Rattus norvegicus: one gene and its partners. The protein of the gene in region 3 binds, or shares a complex with, the protein of the main gene of each other region. Links are inferred from orthologs where the notes say so. Each region holds a gene or a part of one and is shown on either strand. Other genes may lie near its edges. The genes, in order: Capza2, Capza1 and S100b.

Region 1 (4,177 bases), on a different chromosome or scaffold from region 3:
GTAGTGAACAGCCTTGGTTAGAGCCTAAACTGGTCTAACTGGGGTTACTGACACTAGTAACTTTACTCTCAAGAGTACCGTAAACAACTTAGTGAGTCAAAACATTAAATCTAAACATTTTCATCATTTTTACTGATATCCATCATGTGTGAAAGTTGGTGGCCCAAACTTTCAGTTTAAACTAATAAACATCTTAGAGAACCTTAGAATTTTATGATATACAAATTCAGAATAAAGTTCAGCAATGTTCTAAACACCTGATATATCACCATGGGGAAGGCAGATTTTTGTACAAATAACTATTATATATGCAGTTACAAAGCATGACTGTAATTCTACCTTCTCACACTGTCCAAAAGAACACTATCTAGAAAAAAATCCACTAACCTAAAGTTCCCAAATTTAAAGAAGACTCCTGGTTCTTAGTTATTTTTTTTTTTAAACTGCTTCTGTCCCCCTCTCTTGAGTAAGACACAAGAACACCCCATTTTCAGAATGAGCAGATGGGGTGCTACCTGGTCTGTTTGCAAGCACACACACTTGCTTAAGTTGCTGCCAGTTCCCTTCCCAATCACTCTGCTCTCCTACACTCTTTGGTGAGTGTCAAAGGCTTTACTGCACTCTAATGACTCAGATCATCATTATGAAGCAAGTATCTTTCAAATTCTCAAAGGACAGCAGTTTTATTTATCAAGTTTACATTGCTCTTAGTCACACAGTCACACAGAAGGTACAGTCTAAGTTATATGGACTATAAACATTGTTAAAATTAAGTGAACAAAAACTTTAACTTACCAAAAGTTTTTTGCTTGAAACTGATGGCTTTCGATGCATGCAATAATGGTTTGCTGCCCATCTACTTTTTTGCCATACACCTTATTGGCAAAGAAAACAAGAACAACAGTGAGTTTAGTTAAGGCCAAACAATGTCCCCCTTTAAGTATCTATAAGATACCACAGAAAGTGGGCATAACTATGATGTATGGTAATTTTAGGTTGGACAGGTAAACAGAACCAAGGCCACATGGCTTCACAAATCTCTCTCAGATGCCTGGATTCTACCCTAAGCCTCTGAAAGATTCCAAGCAGAGGCTTTTTCAGGATCTCATGTGCATTTTGAAAGCTCACTATGGCTCTGGAGAAGACCAAACTCAGATGCTGAAGAGCCTATCTGGTTACAATCTTAGGAAAATTAAAAAACAAACCCATTTAGTTATACTATTATATTTCATTCTGAAAAAAAAAGTTAAATCAATGAACAAATAACATTAAAACAACAGGAAATTAAGGTATAAACTGAAATGATTCTCTTAAGATTTCTGTAACTAAATAAAAGTTAATTTAAGCTGAACATGGGAAGATGACTAAAGAGAGCACCATCATATCCTTTAATCCAGTGTCTATCTGAATTTAACTTAACATACAATTAGTTTACCGTTTGGGGCTATCATAATAAATTTTATTTAGAAAGATAAACATTCTTGAAAGAAAAAAGTTAGAAGCTATAAGCTGTTAGTTCTATATACTTCTATTATTTCAAGGAATTCTATAAACTGGCACATCTGTATAAGAAACAACAGGGAAGAACAGCCCACTGACGACTCACAGTGCAGACCCCATTGGGATAATGCTCTTTTACATAAGCTCGCAGTGCAGTTTCTACTGAAGTTCTCCAGGATTCAATGGCATTTTCTGCTTCATAGGGCCTTGGATCAGTTGCTTCTTTTCTTAAATGATCAAATTTGAAACAGATTCTGTTTTTTGGATCCAAAAATTTTCCATTTCCCAAGTCTCCATGTTCTGTTATCAAGACCTTCAATTTTCAAATAAATTTAGGAAAAAATATTAACATGAACACACAGTAATAAATATTTGCTTTAAGACCCTTTCTGAAACTGTACAATTACACTGAAACAATTGCTTAAATTATACTGTGAAAATATATTTTAAAAGAGTAGGCACAGGGTTGGGGATTTAGCTCAGTGGTAGAATGCTTGCCTGGCAAGCACAAGGCCCTGGGTTTGGTCCTCAGCTCCAGGTTGGGGGGTGGGGGAGAGTAGGCACAAGGATACTGAGGGTATTCTCTCTTAGTATACATTAACATATCTTTCCAAACGATTTTTGGATACTGAGTGGGGAAAGTGTTGGAGATGACCTCCATTTATCGATCTACCTACCCACTCAAAGAGGCAGTTTACTATTTCTGATGGCAGCCAAGAATCCTTAAGAACCGAGGCCTTATCAATCTGATGGTTTAATCCTTAAAACCTGAGGCCTTATCAATCAATAGTTTAATCAGTGAGGCAGCCCTTTAGCCCTGTGTGGCGCTCAGTCTTTCTGTTCCCCAAATGTGCTCGTTTCTTAAAAACTAATCACTACTAACTTCCAAAAATGTAAAACATAACTTATGTATTTATATACATTTAATATATGAATAAGCCTTTTACTTTGTATCTTACTTAAAAACAAAAACCCTTTTCTCCTGTAGCTGTCCTAGCTAGTAAATGCTGACCTACAAGACTTACCCATCCTTCTGGTATAAATCGTGCTGACAACATAACAATTAACTTTGTAAAAATGTTTTGGTAATAAAATGCCACATTAGATAAATATGCACACCTATCTATTTATCCTCACACATACATGGTTTGTGGGTCATTGTTTTCAAAAATGATAAAATTATACAAACATATACATCTTTATGAATTTGCTGGGTTGGCCCAGAGCTTTGGCCCAACATGTAATCATGTAAGGCACCAAGATGGATGACAATGTGTGACCCCACCTCATTGGGGAAATGGAAGTTGAATGTTCTCTACTACTTGGAAGTCCACTAACCTCTTATCTTAACAGACCTTGACTATAGCCTTCTGCTATCCTAACAGCCAGAGGACCCCTGACCACGACCCCAGGCAAACTATATGCAGCTCCTTTTCCTTAATGCTCTCTTGCCACTCTGCCCAACTAAAAGTACCCTATAAGACCCCAAGCTCCTTTGTGGCAGTGCTACATCTCCTTCACTTGGGGACAAACCAGCAGTTTGTACCCTGAAGAAAGCTTTGCCTTTTGGCTAAAACAGGCTCTGCTCTCTTCTTAATCCACACATACTTGACATTTTCTATACATAAACATCTATGGAAACCCTCTACTAGCAATCTCTCACTATTTTCTTTACTAGTTGCATAATATCCCAGGATGTTAATAGTATAATTTAATCCACAAATCTATTACTGATATGTCATCTCTTTATTTACAAGTGTTTATAAGTCTTTTCCGGAGGAGAAAGCACCATTAAAAAATGGTGAAGTTTTGTTGTAAATCCTTATCATTGTTTTTTTTTTTTTTCTTATTGTTTTTATTTACAACAGATAACTTTAAAAATTTACTTTAGACATAGCCAATGGTACAGAAGACAGCTTCTCAGAGTCAGGTTATTTGTTCTACTGTGGGTTCCAGGGATCAAAATCAGGTCACCGGGTTTGCACAGCAAGTGCCTTTACCGAGGAACCAGCCCACTGGCTCTTGTTACCATCTTTAGCTTTTAAACATATGCTCATGTGTAAAGTTAGTGTACACCACTCTCTAAGGAAGTTTTTGGTTTTAAGTATTAACTAAGTTTTTAAGCTAATCTGTTAAAATAACTTTAGCAGCCATTAAACATTTTTAAAAGATGTTTTCATTAATGCAGCAAATTTTCTTCTAAGGATTTATCTAAAGAAAACCATTGTCAATGTTACCAGGAATATAAAGACATTTGATATAATACTGTTTGTAATGGTAACCTATTCAATCTCTGGAGAAATGAAACAATAACAAGTGTGCAATTATGTGTATGTATGAGTACCCCTGCCTGTTCATGTGAATGCAGCGGCCCATGGAGGCCAAAAGAGGTCATTAGAACCAGTACACCTGCTTAGGGCTAAAACTGACTTTCTGATAATACTACTTCCAAAAATAAAAATGACCATTTTAATTATTTTGCCATTAAATGCCTTCAATTAAAATGAGTAATGTTACACCATCTCATAATTCTTCCAGGATAAGTTTTTATAAACAAAACAAAGAGCAGTGTGATTTGGTGTTTTATGAAACATACCTGATCTTCATAGCCTTCAATTTTTACTGGTGTAAACTGGTCCAGGTTATACTGTGCAAATGCACTAAAAAAGAAAAAGGC
Region 2 (4,939 bases), on a different chromosome or scaffold from region 3:
GCTTATGAATCTCAAGACATTCAAGATTAGTATAATCTTTTCACAGACACAGACAGACAGACACATACACACACACCCCACTGCAAAACATTTTATTTTTTGAGAAAGGGATCTCATTTATGTAGCTAAGCATGGGCATGAATTCCTAATTCTTTTTGCCTTTATCTCTCAAGAGCTGAAATTATTATGGACAGGTACCACCAGGACCAGCCTTTTCCGCTAGCTTTTCAATTTCTGTTAAGAATCAATTAAAGATTAGAAGGAAAAGCAGGCAAAGTAGGTAAGAAGCTCAAAAATCAAGAAGTCTTACAAAGCCCTTTCTTTTCCTTCTTTTCAAGACAAGGTTCTTGGCTGTCCTAGAACTTCCTCTGTAGACCAGGCTAGCCTCGAACTCACAGAAATCTGCCTCCCAGTGCTGGAATTAAAGATGTGTCCCAGCATCACTTCCACCCAGAAAGCCTTTCTTTATAGTCATAGATTTAGAGAGATGTGAATGTGCCTGTCAACTCTGAGGAAAGGAATCTAATAAAATTACAGGAATCTCAAGTTACTAGGGTCTCTTTATGTAGTCCTGGAACTCACTATGTAGTCACGGTTGGCCTCAAACTCAGAGATCTGCCTGTTTCTGCCTCCTGAATGTTTGGATTAAGGGCATGCACCACCATGCCTGGATCAAAGCATAGGGATTTTACTGTATCATTATACTACATATCTACATTGATAAAGACAATGTAGTCAATTAATAAAAAACAAAAACAAAACAAATAAAAAAATCTCTATTAAACCTAGAACCATGGGAGGCAAAGACAGGAGGGCAAATTGGAGATCAGACCAGTCTACAGAACAAGTTTCAGATCAGCTAGGGATATATAACAAGAATCTGTCCCCCAAATACAAAACATCAAAAGCTCTTTACTAAAATAGGAATAGGATTTATCAGCAATTTATCAGCAGACTTACTACTTATTACTGGCTTGTTTATCATTATTAAAACTAAGCAATAAAGTTAAGTATCATGGTATGTGCCTAGCACCATTTGAGAAAGCCTGGCAGATTAGGGTTGGGGTCATTCTTGGCTGTATAGTGAGTTAGAGGTTTACATGAGCCACATAAGACACAGTCTCAAGAAATAGAATAAAGTTTCACTCTAACTTAATGTTATGTGAACCAAAAGTATTTGTTTTATAATAAACGTTGTCATAGTTTTCTTTGTGTGAGTTTTGATTTCTTAGGTCTTTAATATTTATAATACTCAATGTTCAAATAAGAGAAACCAATACTAAAGTGTTATTTGGTGGCTTTTTAGTTTTTGTCCTACTAACAATGAAGTTCAAACACAGGATGTTGCACATGTTAAGTACTCTAGTAACAAACTGCCATCCTGGTCCCTGTTAAGTGTTTATAAAGGTGCTAAGCACCCTTTTCAGCATTTAAAGACAGTGGCTCATTCTTACACAGGTATATATTAAGTTATTCTTTTTGAAGAAGTGATCAAAAATAATCTGTTCCCCCCCCAACAATCGGTTGGACCCCCCCAGTGCAGGGGAATGGGGGGGGGCGGTAAGGGGGATGGATGGGGGGAACACCCGTATGGGGGGTGGATGGGAGGTAATGGGGGCTTATGGACAGGAAACTGGGAAAGGGAATAACATTTGAAATGTAAGTAAAGAAATACATCTAATAAAAAACAAACAAAACAAAACAACAAAAAAGAACCCAGGCAGATTTTATAGAACACCGGAGGGCACATACTTTGCTAACAGGCACTGCAGGAAACAAAAGACACATTCTTGTCCCATAAGTAGTTATCTAGTGAAACCATTTTAACTTCTAGCCACCCTAAGATTCTGTGTTTATGGAAGAACCTGGCACTTCTTTCCTTTTTGAACAAACTGTTTAGCAAATATATGTGGTTGTCAGGAAAAGTTATCCTATCAAATTTGGGATACACCCTTGTATTTAAAACACCTTTAAAGATCTAGGCACACAAACGACATTCTGACAACCCCAGCTATAAAGCACTACAGTTGGTCATCAAAAAAGGGTTGGGTGTTTCATCCAAACTGAATGTGTTAAATGTGAGGTTTATTTGCTACATAACCTTTCTGGAGTTGAAACAAGTCTGTTGCCTACTTCTCACGGTTTAACCGGAAGTAAAAAAAACTACTTTGAAAAAAAATTATAGTTAAAACAGAAGAGTCGGAGTCACCTTGGGGCTAAACGTGCACACAAGAGAGCATAAGCAGAATAAAGGTGTTCGTCAAATTCTTAAGCAAATCCCTTGAGGTTTACTGATTTATTTTTATCCAATTAGTTTAGTCGTCAGTAGTTAAGAAAAGATGAGGGTGTGTAGGTTAGGTGGACAGGCAACACCAGAGGACCTCTCCCTGACAAGGAGTCCTGACAGCAAAATCACTTCCTGAGGAAGGAGGAGCAAAAGGGAAGTTAAGGAGGCCACTCTGATCAGGAAGTGACTCGTTCTAAACTAACCCCAATCATACCTATAAATGGGGGGATGGGGTGAGCCCCAACAGCCAAAGGCGGTAAAATAACTGCTGCCTGACACGTCCCGACATCACATTCTCCTCCTCTCTTACACAGTAAAGAGTCTACAGTTAAGTCAATCAGACAAAGTGTCTCCTCTTTTGAAGGAAGGTTGTGTTCGGTCCGGAATGAAAAGAAGAGTTGAGGAATGGGGGACTGGGGCCACCGTGAGGCAAACGAAATCTCCTTTAAGGAAGGAAGCGTCCCGGATGCAGAGGGAATATGCTAGCACCGGGAAACAACCTTCTTTTTCCAGGGGTCACCACCAGGTTTCCCACTGCTGCCGGCTCGGACCCCTGGGCCTCGTCGGGGGAGGAAGTAAAAGAGGCGGACCCCTTACCTTCTCCTCATCCGACACCCGATCCTCGAAGTCGGCCATCTTGGCTGCTCTGGCCCAGCCCGGCGGGCCGGCGCGAGGCAAGCCGGGAAGGAAGCTGAGTGGTGGAATCACCGAGGGGGCCGTCAGAAGGACCCGCCCGGAAGCTCCGGCCAAGAGGGCGCCATGTCAGTTCCGCGCGGGCGTGACAGCTTAGGGTGGGAGCGCTCTAGGAAGTCGACTTTCCCCTCAGGGTTTTGCAGTCTTAACATCTTTCTCACTGGGTTTCAGTCACTTTCCCATTCGTCCTGGAATGCTTGGTGGCGTGTCTCGACTGTCCATGGCGCCTGGGCTCCCTCTGGTCAAGTAGCAGTTGCTACACCTAGAAGTTTTCCTGATCCCGTTGGTCTCGTAGGCCGCCGAGTCCAGTGCACTAAGAGCTGCTCGGCTCTAGGAGACATCAGTACTTTTCCAACGCCGGCACAGGGCGAAAGGTGACCCCCAACCACGTACGGAACCAAAACCACTTCTCTCCAGCGCCACATTGAGTCCGTTTCCTGCAGAATAAGTGCCACCATCGGATCCTTCCCCGCCCTCCTAGAGGACTAGGTAGCCCCAGAGTAGGCCACCTTCCAGGCGTTCCGCCACCTTCCAGACCTCCGTCCAATTCCCCAGGACTCAGCCTAGACAGAGGCCAGCTTCAAGTCCGCCACTATCCCAGGATTCCCAACTCCGGGTTTCCGGCCCTTCTCCCCTCCCAGGTCCCGGCGCCTGCCGGAGACGCAAGATGGCGGACGGAGACTACTTCGCGGAAGCCGCGCGGGCTGTGGGGTGTCCCCATGCACCTGTTCCCGGCTTGGGCCTGGGCCCGCCGCTGGGCTGGAAAGAGCGGCTGAAGGCCGGGCTGGCGAACTCTGGGTCCACGCTGTGGTTCCTGGCGGGGCTGGGGCTGCTTTACGCTCTGAGGGTCCCGCTGAGGCTGTGTGACAACGTGACAGCGGGTGAGAGGCCCAAACCTCCTGGACAGTCGGGGACAAGCACCAAAGATCAGAGATTCTCAGGGAGTCATGGAGGGCTTTGCAGAAGGAAATTGGTGTTGCATGCTCCAGTGGGTTTATTTTTTCTTTTGGGCCACAGCAACCCGGCAGCTAATTGTTAAACCTGTGCTGCAGTTTACCGGCCCCTCCCTAGAGCTCTGAAGGTTCGCCCTCTCTGTTCTGCCTACGTTACCACCGGAAAAGCTACCTGTCAAGCTGCAAGCTTCAGGTAGTAAGGCAGAAGAGAGCATTCCCAGATAGGTACACACAATGTATATACATTCTTATTGCTTGCAGGGCTCTTTGAAAAACCGTACCATTGAGTCTCCAGCTGCTGAACTTAACCTACACCAGAAACCTAAGATAAGCATATCTGTAATACAAGATAGAAAATGCTATGATTTTAGTGGATCATACTTTTATTGTAAGACGGTTCAATTAAGAAACGTTTTTCGTAATATTTTTATCCTTCAGACTTTGTTATGAGTAATAAGATAGTACAGGAAAGAGAGAGAGGAGAGAGAAGCACTGACAACAGTGAGGTTGTTTAGTATTTTCCTTCCGCAGTTGTACAGTGTCACGGGGCCTGGGCTAAAGATAAAATTTGTAAACAGTGTTGATCCATGCAGATTCTGCAAATGCTATTCCTTAGCCATAGGCAGGATGAAAAGATGGGGTCCTGGACCTTTTGTGGTGTTATTGCAGAATTTATTTCTGCAGCCTCAGAAGGTGGAAATATTTCTATTAGAGAGTCCCATGAGATGACATGAAAGACCATAGGATAGTGCTCTAAAATGCTTTGGGTATTTTAGAGGACAGGCACCACATACGGTCTAATTTATCTGTAATAGTTTCATGACGTAATTTGTGTGCTCATTAAAATGCTGTTCATTGAGTTGTTCATTTATTTTTCTACTGTTGTTGTCTTGAGGCCAGGATATAACCAAGACTGACCTTGAATACCTGATCCCTTGAGCCACTTCTTAAGTGGCGGATTTAGAGACATATACTAGCTAGCCTGGCTTTAATTCTTTGTTTAATG
Region 3 (4,926 bases):
ACACAAGGTAAAGTCCTATCTCAGAGAAGGGAACCTCGATTAAAGAAAATGCCCCCATAAGATCCAGCTGTAGGCATTTTCTTAAGTGGTGATCGATGAGGGAGGGCCGAGCCCACTGTGGGCGGTGCTATCCCTAGGCCGGTAGTCCTGGATTCTATAAGAAAGCAGGCTGAGCAAGCCAGTAAGCAGCACCCCTCCATGGCCTCTGCATCAGTTCCTGCCCTCAGGATCCTGCCCTGCTTGGGTTCCTGTCCTGAATCCCAGTGATGATGGACTGTGGCGCAGAAGTATAAGCTGAATTAACCCTTTCCTCCCCCACTTGCTTTTTGGTCAAGGTGTTTCATTGCAGTAACAAAACCCTAACAAAGGGATTGGAGAGCTGGCTCAGTGCTCGAGAGCCCTGACTGCTCTTCCAAAGGTCCTAAGTTCAATTCCCAGCAACCACTTGGTGGCTCACAACCATCTGTAATGGGATCAGATGCCCTCTTCTGGTGTGTCTGAAGACAGTGACAGTGTACTCACATACATAAAATAAATAAATACCTTTAAAAAAAGACCTAACAAAGCTCATTTTCATATGAATTAATATATCCGTTTAAGATTTTAAATAAAAACATGAGGTTTTTTTTGGATGAGGTGGGGGCAAACAAAAAAAATAGACTGAGGGGTTGGGGATTTAGCTCAGTGGTAGGGCGCTTGCCTAGCAAGCACAAGGCCCTGGGTTCGGTCCCCAGCTCCAAAAAAAAAAAAAAAAAAAAAAGTAGACTGTAAAATTCATCCGGATTAAAGGTATCCCTGTACCAACTGTTTTGAAAAGTAACAGTGAAGCGACCTTGCAGCAACACGGACTCCAAGGTCATATGATTCTCCTGGCATGCTGACAAAGGGAGACCAAGGCACAGCCCAGCGTTCTGTGCTTACTCATTAGCCTGGCCTCAGAGTACAGCAGCTTCTTTGTGAACAGGCATGCGTGCCTGCGAGAAGCAAACAGCCTTCAAGAGAGCACCTGATGCAGCAGCCACAGCCTGGGGAATCGGGGATGGCTGCTCAACTCTCTGAGAGAGAGGCGGCCTTGGGCTCATTTCAGAGACCAGCTACTTAGGCAGAGACAGCTCCTGGCCTTGAGTTCTGATCCTTAAGCCAGAATCTGCACCGTCATAAGTAAACAAACAAAAGACACTCAAAAGTCATTTCCATGATGAACATATTAGATTTTAGTAACTTCTTACATTTTTTATGAACGATCTCAGCAAGAGAAAGGAAGGTTTTTGGCCTTTGTTGACCCTCTGGTTCCTCAGTTTGCTCGTCTTTTCCAGATACCTGAAGTACCTCCCATAAATAGAACCTGAAGGGATAAGAGGTGATGCTCTCTCTTGGTTTCTTAACTTGTGTTTTCCGTTCTTGTTGGTCTTTTAGCTAAAAAGAAACTCGTGGGGTTGGGGATTTAGCTCAGTGGTAGAGTGCTTGCCTAGCAAGAGCAAGGCCCTGGGTTCGGTCCCCAGCTCCGAAAAAAAGAAAAAAGAAAAAAGAAAAAGAAGAAGAAGAAGAAAAGAAGAAGAAGAAGAAGAAGAAGAAGAAGAAGAAGAAGAAGAAGAAGAAGAAGAAGAAGAAGAAGAAGAAGAAAAGAAACGCGTGTGTGTCTGGGTGTTTTGCAGGCTGGTATGTGTGAGCATGCATGGTGCCCACAGAGAGGCTGGGAGAGTGTCAGATCCCCTGGAACTGGAGTGACAGGCAGTTGTGAGCTGCCAGTGTGGATGCTGGGCTGAGCCATCTCTCCAGCCCTGGTTACCTTTTTTTTTTTTTTTTCCTCTTTTCTTTTTTTTCTTTTTTTCGGAGCTGGCAAAGTGCTAGGCAAGCGCTCTACCACTGAGCTAAATCCCCAACGCCCCTGGTTACTGTTTTTCTTTGTTTGGTTTTTTTATGAAACATTTAGTGGCATGAAAAGAGTGGTGGGGAAGGGAGGGGAAAAGAGGGGAAGGGAGGGGAGGGGAGAGGAGGGGAGGGGAGGGGAGGGGAGAGGAGGGGAGGGGAGGAGAAGCCAGGCGCAGAATTACCTGCCTGTTTTTCCTTTTCAGATTGACACGAGGTCTCACTGTCCCCAAGTTTTCTCCTAAATCATGATCTTCTTGCCTCTACTCTCCCGAGGGTTGGCTCGTACCCAGCACAGTTATTGATTTAAAAAAAAAAAGTCTCCAGAAACTCTGCATCATACTGATATTGCTCAAAGTCCTAACGGCTGGGGGAGGGAAAGGCTAAATGATCTTTTTGTGGATAAGGACTAAGGCTTAAGAACAAACGGTGTCACACCACATCCCATGTGCTAGGAAAGTCCGTAAAATTTGAGTTTTCTCACGACTACATTAGACATTCCAAATTTTCCCCTATTCTTTCAACTAAAGAAGTTAGTTGTCTGTCTCCTAAGACAAATGGAGGAGACTTTATAAAGAAAACACAGGGCTTGAGCTTCTTGGAATGGTACTGCCTGTCCGGGGAGGGGTTCCCCACAAAGACTGCCCCTCCCCAGGAGGGGTAACAGAGAAGTCAGGGCCACTCCCAAACCCTCATTTCTCTGCCCCAATTCATAATGATCTGAAAAGATTCAACTACTTTGCAATTTTTTTTTTTGAGCGGTGTCTGGAGATGTAGTTCTTGGCATTTCAAAGAGGGAAACTGGAAAAGCTCACCTGGGTGCTCCAGGGACCCCCGGGAAAAGCTACCAGGAGAAAGGGAGCGCTGTGGTTGGGGATTTGGGGTGACTCTATTCCAAGAAAGAAAATCCTTCCCTTAGGACGTAGAGAAGAAGCCCTAGATGCCATCTCTGAAAACATCAGTAGTCATTCTGAATCTTGAAAAAATGACCCAAGGGATCTCTGGCTTCACGAAAACAGGGACAGACACAATTCCATGGCAGCACAGATGTCAACAACTGTCACAAGGAAACAAGAAAGGCGGCCTCATCGGAAGCCTTGGAATGCAGCCAAACGTCCCCAAAGGTTTTCTAAAAAGTTTCAAAGCTCAATTCCCATCCTATCCCCTTCACCCCCTCACCCTGCAAAGAGAGAAAGAAGCGGTTTTTCTTGGGTCCTGCCAGTGACTCTTTCTCACCTCCTGGTCACCTTTTGCCGCCGGAGTCCTCTCTGGCTTCGGTGTCCGAGGACTAGGAGGGTAGACAGAGAAGCTCCTTTTTCTTCCTCCAGAGAGGACTGGGTGTGGACTTGGCGCAGTCCGCTGCAGGCTGAGACTGCGACTGCCAATAGGGGCCAAGGTTAGGGAGGAGCTGGACAACCACCGGGCCTGCATACAGGGCCCCATTGAGTGGTACCCTGGGGACCCACTGGGCAGCCACAATTGGATCTGATCTAGAAAGAATATGGGTCTGTTGGGCAGGAAATGTGGAGTCAGCTTCTCTGTGCCGTTTAAATTTAGGATATGAATATTGATGCTGTTCCAGAGGCAAGATTGGGGGGCTGGTGGGAAGAGGGGAGAGACAGCGTGGGTGAATTGATTCAAACAGCAGATACGCAGCCAAGAACTGGAAACTTCTGGTGCTGAGTGCTGGAGGCTGTGTGGCTATGGCTGGCTTCCAAGGAGGCCTCTTGAGCATCTTGCCTGCCTGCCAGCTTTCTGGTCCCCTCCTACAGGTATGCCATGCTGTGGCTGGTGATGCTGGGCAGTGGTTACCCCCAGACTCCTCTTTGAACCCAGTCTTCTCAGGGACCAGGGTGCGGTAAGTTTCTTTCTAACTTAGTACTTTTGCACAGAGGGAAAGACACGCCAGCTGTGTCTTAGGCCTCTCTCCCTTCTCACCCTGGTCAAAGGTTGAGCTGTCTGCACCAGAAATGCTTTAGAGATGGCCCGTCCTGTGCTCTTTTCACATAGGGAAGAAACGCTGTGCCTCTTGTCACAAAGGCACAAAACTAACCCAGAAGACTCCCCAGTGGAGGATAGCTTAGTCACACACGTCCCTTTGCACCTCGAGTCCGGAGTGTCTGTGGGAAGAGCTACATGACAAAAGTCACCCAAATATCACAGAGACCAAGAAGTTGACTCGACATGCTAGAGGTAGAATGAAGTTTTCCTGCCCTGGAATGTAACCTTTTCTTGAGGAAAGGTTAGCTTTGGGGTGGAGGTATAAACCCCTGCTCTGGTTCGACTCACCATTTATCTATAGGAGATCAAAGCCACTGGTCCCCAAAGATTAGGTCCCCTAATCTTCTTAGTCATCAATAGACAATAAAAGGGAGCTGACTGGGGGAGACGGTTATGATAATCATGGCTGGGAAGAGACCCTTACTTTGTGATGTCGCTTGGGGTACCGGATGATCGAGGCTTCTCTGACCCCTCCCTAGCTGTCTTCAGTCAGTTACACTGACTTTAAGTAGAGATCTTCAAACCCGAGTGCATGAACATACACACGTGTGTGCATGCGTGCGTGCGTGAGTGTGTGTGTATGTGTGTGTTGATCTTCAGATCCCAGACAAGCCCCCACAAATGTTACAGGAGTCCTATGGAGTGGACAAAGAGTTCTACATCCTGGAAAGAAGGCACACTCAAGAAAGTGAAGTGACAGTTGGAGAGCAAGACGGGCCGCCGAGGTATGGCAGTGGAAGATCCAAAGTCAGAGATGTGAAAGCAATCCCTACACCCCAGTGAGAGTAGGAGAGATCTCTGCCGCTCCCAGACACATCTAAGGCAGGGACACCAACATGGCTCCCACTGAGCCTGAGCGGGAAGTAAAGGTGCTGACAGTCTCTGACAGAAGACGCCAGCTCCGGATAACGAGGGAGGGCAGCTGACAGAATGAAGGAAAGTTCCAGACTGCATCGATCACCAAGGGAACTGGCCTTAAGTTTTTATTATTTATTAATTATTTACTTATTATTTATATTTATTCAGGTTTTTTTGAGACAGGGGTTTTCTCTCTGG

The links.
Region 1: the proteins of S100b (region 3) and Capza2 are in contact, whole or in part, in a crystal structure (PDB 3RM1), measured with the Bos taurus proteins. The link is inferred for Rattus norvegicus from reciprocal best matches to the Homo sapiens genes S100B and CAPZA2. Residues at the interface, in NP_001029727.1 of Bos taurus: Ile37, His43, Phe44, Leu45, Glu46, Ile48, Lys56, Val57, Thr60, Phe77, Met80, Ile81, Ala84, Cys85, Phe88; in NP_001013016.1 of Bos taurus: Thr267, Lys268, Ile269, Trp271, Ile274, Leu275.
Region 2: the proteins of S100b (region 3) and Capza1 are in contact, whole or in part, in an NMR structure (PDB 1MQ1), measured with the Homo sapiens proteins. The link is inferred for Rattus norvegicus from reciprocal best matches to the Homo sapiens genes S100B and CAPZA1. Residues at the interface, in NP_006263.1 of Homo sapiens: Glu46, Glu47, Lys49, Val53, Lys56, Val57, Thr60, Phe77, Met80, Val81, Ala84, Cys85, Glu87; in NP_006126.1 of Homo sapiens: Thr265, Arg266, Ile269, Asp270, Trp271, Asn272, Lys273, Ile274, Leu275.

The regions. Positions count from the first base shown.
Region 1 is NC_086022.1:46,960,517-46,964,693, reverse strand, and holds part of Capza2 (F-actin-capping protein subunit alpha-2), read right to left. Parts: intron 4,161-4,177; coding exon 4,097-4,160; intron 1,814-4,096; coding exon 1,607-1,813; intron 876-1,606; coding exon 796-875; intron 1-795. UniProt on the Homo sapiens protein: F-actin-capping proteins bind in a Ca(2+)-independent manner to the fast growing ends of actin filaments (barbed end) thereby blocking the exchange of subunits at these ends.
Region 2 is NC_086020.1:195,049,891-195,054,829, forward strand, and holds the start of Capza1 (F-actin-capping protein subunit alpha-1), read right to left. Parts: upstream 3,211-4,939; 5' UTR 2,924-3,210; coding exon 2,885-2,923; intron 1-2,884. Other genes in the region: St7l (suppressor of tumorigenicity 7 protein-like), read left to right, coding at 3,648-3,861. UniProt on the Homo sapiens protein: F-actin-capping proteins bind in a Ca(2+)-independent manner to the fast growing ends of actin filaments (barbed end) thereby blocking the exchange of subunits at these ends.
Region 3 is NC_086038.1:12,377,865-12,382,790, forward strand, and holds the start of S100b (protein S100-B), read right to left. Parts: upstream 3,218-4,926; 5' UTR 3,106-3,217; exon of another isoform or gene 2,055-3,105; intron 1,346-2,054; exon of another isoform or gene 1,230-1,345; intron 1-1,229. UniProt on the Homo sapiens protein: Small zinc- and- and calcium-binding protein that is highly expressed in astrocytes and constitutes one of the most abundant soluble proteins in brain.